Linked DNA regions of Macaca mulatta. The protein of the gene in region 2 interacts with the protein of the main gene of each other region in a biochemical or structural test. Links are inferred from orthologs where the notes say so. Each region holds a gene or a part of one and is shown on either strand. Other genes may lie near its edges. The genes, in order: MAX and MXD1.

Region 1 (3,419 bases), on a different chromosome or scaffold from region 2:
AGGCCTAAACACACAAAACCCTTCACTGGGATCTGTTGACCACAGCCAGAACCAGGGCTGGATCACGCAATGGAGACAGGTTCCAGGACAGTAGGAAAGGAAGTGGGGTGAGGGCTGGGAAGGGTCCGCACTGGGGTGCGGGTTTAGTACCAGGTAAATTGCTCTTGGTATTTACATACAAAATCAGTTGGCTCTATTTCTTAGAAATACACACGGGAAGAAAGAAAGATTTCATCATTACTTTATGAATCTGTCGCTTTGCAAGACCGACATCATCAGAAATAGGTACAATTCACTCAGATTCAAATTTAAGTAGCAGGAAATAAATATCAAAACATCATCACTGGCCCTCAATACAAAACCTCTATGCCACCCAAAACACCCTCCCTGTCCCAACCCTTAAATGGCCACTCTCTGGTGGCTGCTGCTTCACTGCTGCCATCTCCCATACATACCACAAGAGTGTCACACGGCCCTCCGTGAGGCTGGCACCGCAGGCTTAAACAGCTGGCTGAGAGAAGCAGGAGTGAAACATGCCAGGGACTCTGTGCTGCGAATCTGTCCCCACTTTCTTTTTATGCCACAAACTTCTTTAAGAATCTGGTCTTTCAATAGGAGCGATACATAGCTTTTTAGAAAAAGGAAAAAAAAAAAAAAAACCCTTAAAAAGGAGGAGGGTTCATTCTGATTACTCCAAACCGGTCATCTTCTCAAAGTAGAGCAGTTCAGATTCACAAAGTCTATCAGAGGTGAGGGCGGACCAGGAGGCCGCCTGGGCAGGGCAGGCGTCCTCCAGGCATGTGCCTGGCAGGGCTGGAGGAGCTGGTAGGGTGGGCAGGACACTATGTGCTCAGAGGTCTGGCCGGCCATCTGTCCTCCACAGAAAAAGCTGCCAAGTTGGGGTGTTTTGGTTTAAAAATTCCTGGTGGGGACAGGGAATCCCTGAAGGGAATACATTAAAAAAAATATACAGTGGAAATGGGGAAGGAGAACAAGAGCTGTTGTCCAAGAGCTTCTATGTAAAAATAAAAATTAAAAAAAAAAAAGGGAGAAAGAGAAAAATAGAGTCTTTTAGATGCTTCTGAGGGTTCTACCGATGAACTGAAAGGAGGATGAGACGATGGAGACAGACAGTTTTTATTGCTGGCCTGCCCCGAGTGGCTTAGCTGGCCTCCATCCGGAGCTTCTTCCTGCTTTGGGGCTCTTCAGGCTCAGACTCCGAGCTGGAGTCCGAGCCCCCATCGAAGGCAGAGATGGTGCTGCCCTTGGCGTTGGTGTAGAGGCTGTTGTCTGAGGAGGGGTAGTTGGTCTGCAGTTGGGCACTTGACCTCGCCTTCTCCAGTGCACGGACTAAAAGGCAACCAAGGGAGTGTGTTACTGCCTTCTGGAGACTTGGGGAGTAACCGAGTCTCAGACTCAGGGTCCAGCCTGTTCTTCCTAAGGGCTTGCTTGTTGGCCCCCGAGGCTCAAGATGCTCAGAAGTACTCCCTTCGGGTGGCTGTTCACTCACACACTTCATTTCCCTCCCGCCTTTCCCAGCTGGACCTGGGAGCCAGCAGATACTCTGCAATCCCACCCAACCCCGAAGAGAAGGCTTGTGATGTCACCGTCCTGCCGTGGAAGCCCCTGCGGAGAGACTGGAGCGTGAGCTCCCTGTGGGATTTAGAAGTGCAATAACAGAGGAGAAGCTGGCCCAGGAGCATGAGGCTCCACAAGGTGTGAGGCCACGCAACAGCAGAAAAGGATGACATAAGACGTATCAGCCAAAGAACAGTTTTGGCTTAGCTCTCGTGTACAAGATCCACTTGAAATGACAAGCTGGACACTTGGAAGCAAGTCACCAATACACATAAAATACCTGGGCTTTTCCAATAGCCCCTACATGCAGGCTGCTTGGCCCAGTAACCAACCCACTGACACCACCCACTGCCCATCTCTTGGTTCAGCTCAGCTTGAGCCTGGAAGGTCAACCCATTTATTTTACTTTATTTTATTTTATTTTATTTGAGGTTTTCTAACCCAGGTGGTTACTTGCATTTCCTTTTACTTGCATCTTCCATGAGGGAGGAAGAGAAGTGAATTCCCCAGGAACAAACAACTTGATCAGCTCTTGCTTTCCCCTGTGGTTGTAGGAAAAGGCGGGTGTGAGCATTGAGAACAGCATGGGCCTAGCCCACAGGCTGCCCCGATTGGACTACCATTGACAATGGGGAGGGCTCACTGTCCCTGAACACCTGGAGTCTCTGGTACTTACATAGCACATTCCACTCCAAGGACCTCAAAGCTCTTTTCAGACACCTGATGCCAGGTGTGATCCCTACTGCAGGCAGAGCACCTGAGCCCCAAGAAGGGGAGAGGTCAGGCCAGAAAAGGTACAAGTCTCCAGATGTCCAACTTCCTAGCTTCCACTGTCTCCTCACTAGCATCTCAGGTCCTTCCTCAGGACGGCTCTAACACTCAGCTACTCAGGCCCCAAGAAGCAGGACCAAGCCTGCTTCTGAGCACACACTCCATGACTGGCTCTGACTCTGCAGGCCTAGGTGCCAAAGCCTGACCCAGCCAGAGCACAGCAGGGCCAGCTGCCCCACGAGCTTGGGTGCTCACCTTGCTGCTCCAGAAGAGCATTCTGCCGCTTGAGGTCGTCAATATCTTGCTGGTGTGTGTGGTTTTTCCTTCGCATATACTGGATATACTCTGTGGCTTTGTCTAGGATTTGGGCCCGGGATGCCTGTGGCAATATGAGAAAAAGCACAGGGGACAAAATAAAAACCGAATCCAGGCAGTGAGGGAACCCGGCCTGCAGCAACTGCCTGGGTGGCTAGAATCAAGAGGATAAGGTGGGAAAAGGCTGAAGAAATACAGTAATGGCTACTGTAGGCCTTCTTTTTTTGTTGTATTTTTTTTTTTTGAGACGGAGTTTCTTTCTTGTTGCCCAGGCTGGAGTGCAATGGCATGATCTTGGCTCACTGCAACCTCCGTCTCCCAGGTTCAAGTGATTCTCCTGCCTCAGCCTCCTGAGTAGCTAGGATTACAGGCATGCGCCACCACCCCCGGCTAATATTTTTGTATTTTTAGTAGAAATGGGGTTTCACCATGTTAGCTAGGCTGGTCTCGAACTCCTGGCCTCAGGTGATCCCACCTTGGCCTCCCAAAGTGCTGGGATTACAGGTTACCCCATGCCCAGCCAGTTTTTTTTTTTTTTTTTTTTGGAGATGTAGTCTTGCTCTGTTGCCCAGGCTGGAGTAGAGTGGTGTGATCTCAGCTCACTGCAACATCCACCTCCCGGGTTCAAGTGATTCTTCTGCCTCAGCCTCCAGAGTAGCTGGGTACAGATGCATGCCATGTTGCCTGGTTAATTTTTATATTTTTAGTAAAGATGGGGTTTCACCATGTTGGCCAGACTGGTCTCAAACTCCTGA
Region 2 (3,912 bases):
CTTTCTTGAGGGCAGAAAAAACGCCAGGCGGCAAGCATTTAACAACCGCCAGGCTTTTCTTCTCAAGCCCCGCAGCAGCCACGTGGCGCCTGCCCGAGCTCCCGGCTCACCGGCCACTATCCTACACCGCTCTCCGGGATGATTCGCGGCTGGGCCCTCGCCAGCCGGAGTTCCGCGAAGCCCAGAACCTCCAGGGCCGCGGCCACCAGACCCAGGGCTCCGGCCCCGAACCCAAGCGGCGCAGAGCGCCCAGGCGACGCGAGGTGCCAGCCTTCCATTCGAGGGACGCCTGGCAGGTCCCCGGAAGTTTTCCCCGGGGACAGGTCTTGGCAACAGGTCCGAGGCGAGACCGGGTGGAGCCGAGCTCCGCGGCTGCCGGTGAATCAGCGCCGCCCAGCGCCGGACCGGCCCTCCCAGCCAATGCCACACCTGGTGAGGAGCAGGCAGGCCGCTGACCATCAGCCACTTAGGGCTCGCCTGAACTGGAGAAAGGTGACATCATCGTAGCTGGGAGGTTTCCGAAGGCTTCACCAATGGGAGACCGGCGAGGTGCTTGCCTGCTACAGCTCTTGGCCAATACTAACAAAGCAAAAGGGGGCCCGGGTTGTTGGTATAGAACCAATGGGAAACAAGGAAGGAGCACGAGGCGGAGTTGCGAATCCTGTCACCAATTGGAAAGAGGGGGTGGAGCCCGGGCCTTGTCAAGCGTGACCAACCAGCGAGAGGAGCGGACTTTGGGGGGTGGAGCCGTGAAGCCCTCTCCCAATCGCACAAGTTTGGGGGCGGGGCATTCTTTGGGGGGCCCAATGAGGAACGCGGCCGAAGCTGGCCTGTCAAGAGAAGGGGCTGGGGGCGGGGAGATGGTGAGTCGGGGATAAACACTCCGCGGCGGTGGCGGCTGCTGCTCTGCTCCGGGTTCTGTCACGGTGTCGGCGGTGCCCAGCTCACTGGCCCCCCTCCCTCTCTTGTCGAGCGTGGTTGCCAGAGAGGCTCCCTCAGCCCTGCTCCGCGGTGTCCACAGCGGGCTCCATAGCGGTCCGGCGGCGGCAGCGAGCCCGTGGGCAGTGGGGGTTGGTCCCGTGGCTCCGGCCCCCGGTGCAGAATGGCGGCGGCGGTTCGGATGAACATCCAGATGCTGCTGGAGGCGGCCGACTATCTGGAGCGGCGAGAGAGAGGTGCACGGGGACGGGAAGGGGTCCACTCGAACCGAGGCCGGGGGTCCTGTAGGGCCGGCCTCAGGTCCGGGCGCCCAGCCGCTCCGGGGGTGGTTGGAGGCGGGGAGACCGCGAGCGCTCCCAACCCCTCCGGCTCTCCCCACGCGCGGTCCGAAGGGAGGCCGCCGCTGCCCTAGAGCAATGAATCAGGTGGAGAAGGGGCTTTCGCCCGCCGGGGTCCCGAACGCCGCCCCTTCCGCAGTCCCTCCCGAATGGGTGGCCGGGGCCGCCTCCGATAGCCTCCCTGGTTTACCTCACCCGGGCTGGTCCCGGCCGGCCCCCAGGTGGGTCCAGCGCCCCAGTCTCCTGGGCAGAGGAGCAGCGCCTCACGGTGCTTGCCCCGCACCTTCGCCTGAGGCTGGTTCCACTTAACCCGCACCAACCTGCTGGACGTTGCCAGTGGGAAACCCAGGCTGCGTGAGCTTAGCCACTACTGTGTCTTTCTCAACAATGAGCAGCTGGAATCCTCTTTACACCTGCTCCGAACTGAGGGTATTCACACAATGTTGTTGTTTTTTTTTTTTTTTTAATCATTGTTCTCAGAATTCCACCTTACTCCATTTAATTATTTCCACAATATTCTTTTAAAGATAAATAAAGGAAAAAGGAAATACTGTAGAGAGGAGAGAGTATTAAATATTCTGGGCCCATTCATTAACTGGATCCTCCTGTTTTCTAGAAGCTGAACATGGTTATGCCTCCATGTTACCATACAATAACAAGGACAGAGATGCCTTAAAACGGAGGAACAAATCCAAAAAGAATAACAGCAGTAGCAGGTAATTTGGTAAATACTTCTTTCTGTCTTTTAGATTATATTGTAGGTGACACAAACTGCTGAATGTAAGTTGCCTGTTGTGATTATAACCCTATAAAATTACATTGTGGCCGTCATGATTCAGTAATGTACACATGGACTTAAGACCTTGTAGGAAGCTGTTTCTGTTTGGGTTGAGGGAACTGAAAAGAAAAATAGAAATGTTTTACATTTTTTATGAACTTTATTCAAAATTTAATTTCGCTTTTCTTCCCTTTTGGAACAAAAAAATCTGTGAAAGCTTCAAGTGAGATTAGCAATGGTGACAATATTTTCCCTTCAGAAGTTGCAGATCAGGGCAAGTTTTCTATAAGTCAAAATGCTGGACATTATCCATTTCTTTTACTTTTCGTTGTAATGATTTTATAAACACATTAAAGTACCTGATTTGGCATAAGTGGTAGGATCTCATACTTGACATGTAAATTAAATACAGTGGTTTGTTTGATACTCTAATTTGTCACCTCTATTTGTAGTGGCAAAGAGGAATGATTGAGGTTAAAACCTACCTCTTTAGTGATAGAGGAATATATAATACCGAAATATTAATATGCTACAACCTTTCCATGTTAGTCTTATAGATTGTCTTATACCATAGTTCTTAAAAGCTGTGAATCTCACTGGAGATTTGGTTAATGGTCAGTTAAATCACATATTAAAGTCCTGTGCATAGTTTCTGGTACATGTAAATAGTCCATCAATGTTACTGCCCTTTTTCTCCCTTCTTTGCCCTTAAAATGTAGTTGGCTAGGAAATTCGTTTTATTAGATCCCTTCAACTATACCTTTCCTGCCAGTAAATTAAAAGCATTGATTTTTTCGTCACTGGTTTAGAATCCTCATCCCTCCCTCACCCTCATGAATAACTCCTTGCAAGTATCTATTTGATATTCTCTGTGGCTTAATACAGACCAGGAATTTCCCACTTAAACCTAAAAATCACTTGTTCTTGCTGCGTCTTCTGTACTTGGTTCACCTCATTAGTATCGTTGGTGGAACCACAGGATGTGAGCAGCATTACTTGTGCCATGCCCTTGAATAAAAATGGCACATGAAGAATCAACCTGGTAATTACTTGGTGGGTTTTGCTTGTCCTCTAATCTTAGCATTACCTGAAGGTGGTAGCCTGTAGTTTTGTGCATGGATATGAAGGCACTTTAAGAAGGTTGTTAATACTGACTTGTAATATGCAATGGTATAAAAACAATTCAGCTGTGTTGCATTTTAATACAGTATTTTTTTTAATTTGTTTAAAAGAATTTTGAGGCCTTTCAGTTAATTTTTCTGGAAAAACATAGTCCATTTTGGCTTTTATTATTGTCCACTAATGATTTGAGAGGAATTGTCCATGTTACTTATTTAGGCTTAATACCTTAACACCTTATTTTTTTCCTTAGTTTCACAGGAAGGTTGTAGGGGATGTTCACTAGTGGGGATAAAAAAATGAGATGTTGAAGTGGTTTGGTCCCAAAAGGTGATTAGGAAAGAAAAATAATAGTAGTTAAGAATCTTAAGCCAAGAAATGGATTCTTTCTAGTAGAAAGAATCAGTACTATGCCAAAAAAAAAAAAAAAAAAAAAAAAAAGGGCTACAAATTCTTCTGTTAATGGGTTGGTTTGCTTTCCATGGTTAGAGACAGGGGATTATCACAGTTGTCCATATACTTGACTGTTAGTGAGTTAGTGTAATATATTCAGTAGTGTAAGGATTTCTGAGAGACCATGATTAAACCTAGAGGTAGCACCAGGCACACGTGTGAGGCAGGAGCAGGTAGTTTTCTTTCAGTGTGATCATTTCCTTCATGACCCATTTGGAATAGCTCCTTTTTTGAGGAACAAGCAATCATAACGGAGAAAGCAGCTTGACCCCATGGTTTGAATCA

Evidence for each region.
Region 1: the proteins of MXD1 (region 2) and MAX form a complex in vitro, tested with the Homo sapiens proteins (4 studies listed by BioGRID, with this or other methods). The link is inferred for Macaca mulatta from reciprocal best matches to the Homo sapiens genes MXD1 and MAX.

The regions. Positions count from the first base shown.
Region 1 is NC_133412.1:138,175,193-138,178,611, forward strand, and holds the end of MAX (protein max), read right to left. Parts: intron 2,729-3,419; coding exon 2,605-2,728; intron 2,336-2,604; coding exon of another isoform or gene 2,169-2,335; exon of another isoform or gene 2,127-2,168; intron 2,121-2,126; coding exon of another isoform or gene 2,036-2,120; intron 1,351-2,035; coding exon 1,163-1,350; 3' UTR 678-1,162; downstream 1-677. UniProt on the Homo sapiens protein: Transcription regulator. Forms a sequence-specific DNA-binding protein complex with MYC or MAD which recognizes the core sequence 5'-CAC[GA]TG-3'. The MYC:MAX complex is a transcriptional activator, whereas the MAD:MAX complex is a repressor.
Region 2 is NC_133418.1:54,837,356-54,841,267, reverse strand, and holds the start of MXD1 (max dimerization protein 1), read left to right. Parts: upstream 1-1,064; 5' UTR 1,065-1,102; coding exon 1,103-1,175; intron 1,176-1,893; coding exon 1,894-1,993; intron 1,994-3,912. UniProt on the Homo sapiens protein: Component of a transcriptional repressor complex together with MAX. In complex with MAX binds to the core DNA sequence 5'-CAC[GA]TG-3'. Antagonizes MYC transcriptional activity by competing with MYC for MAX binding.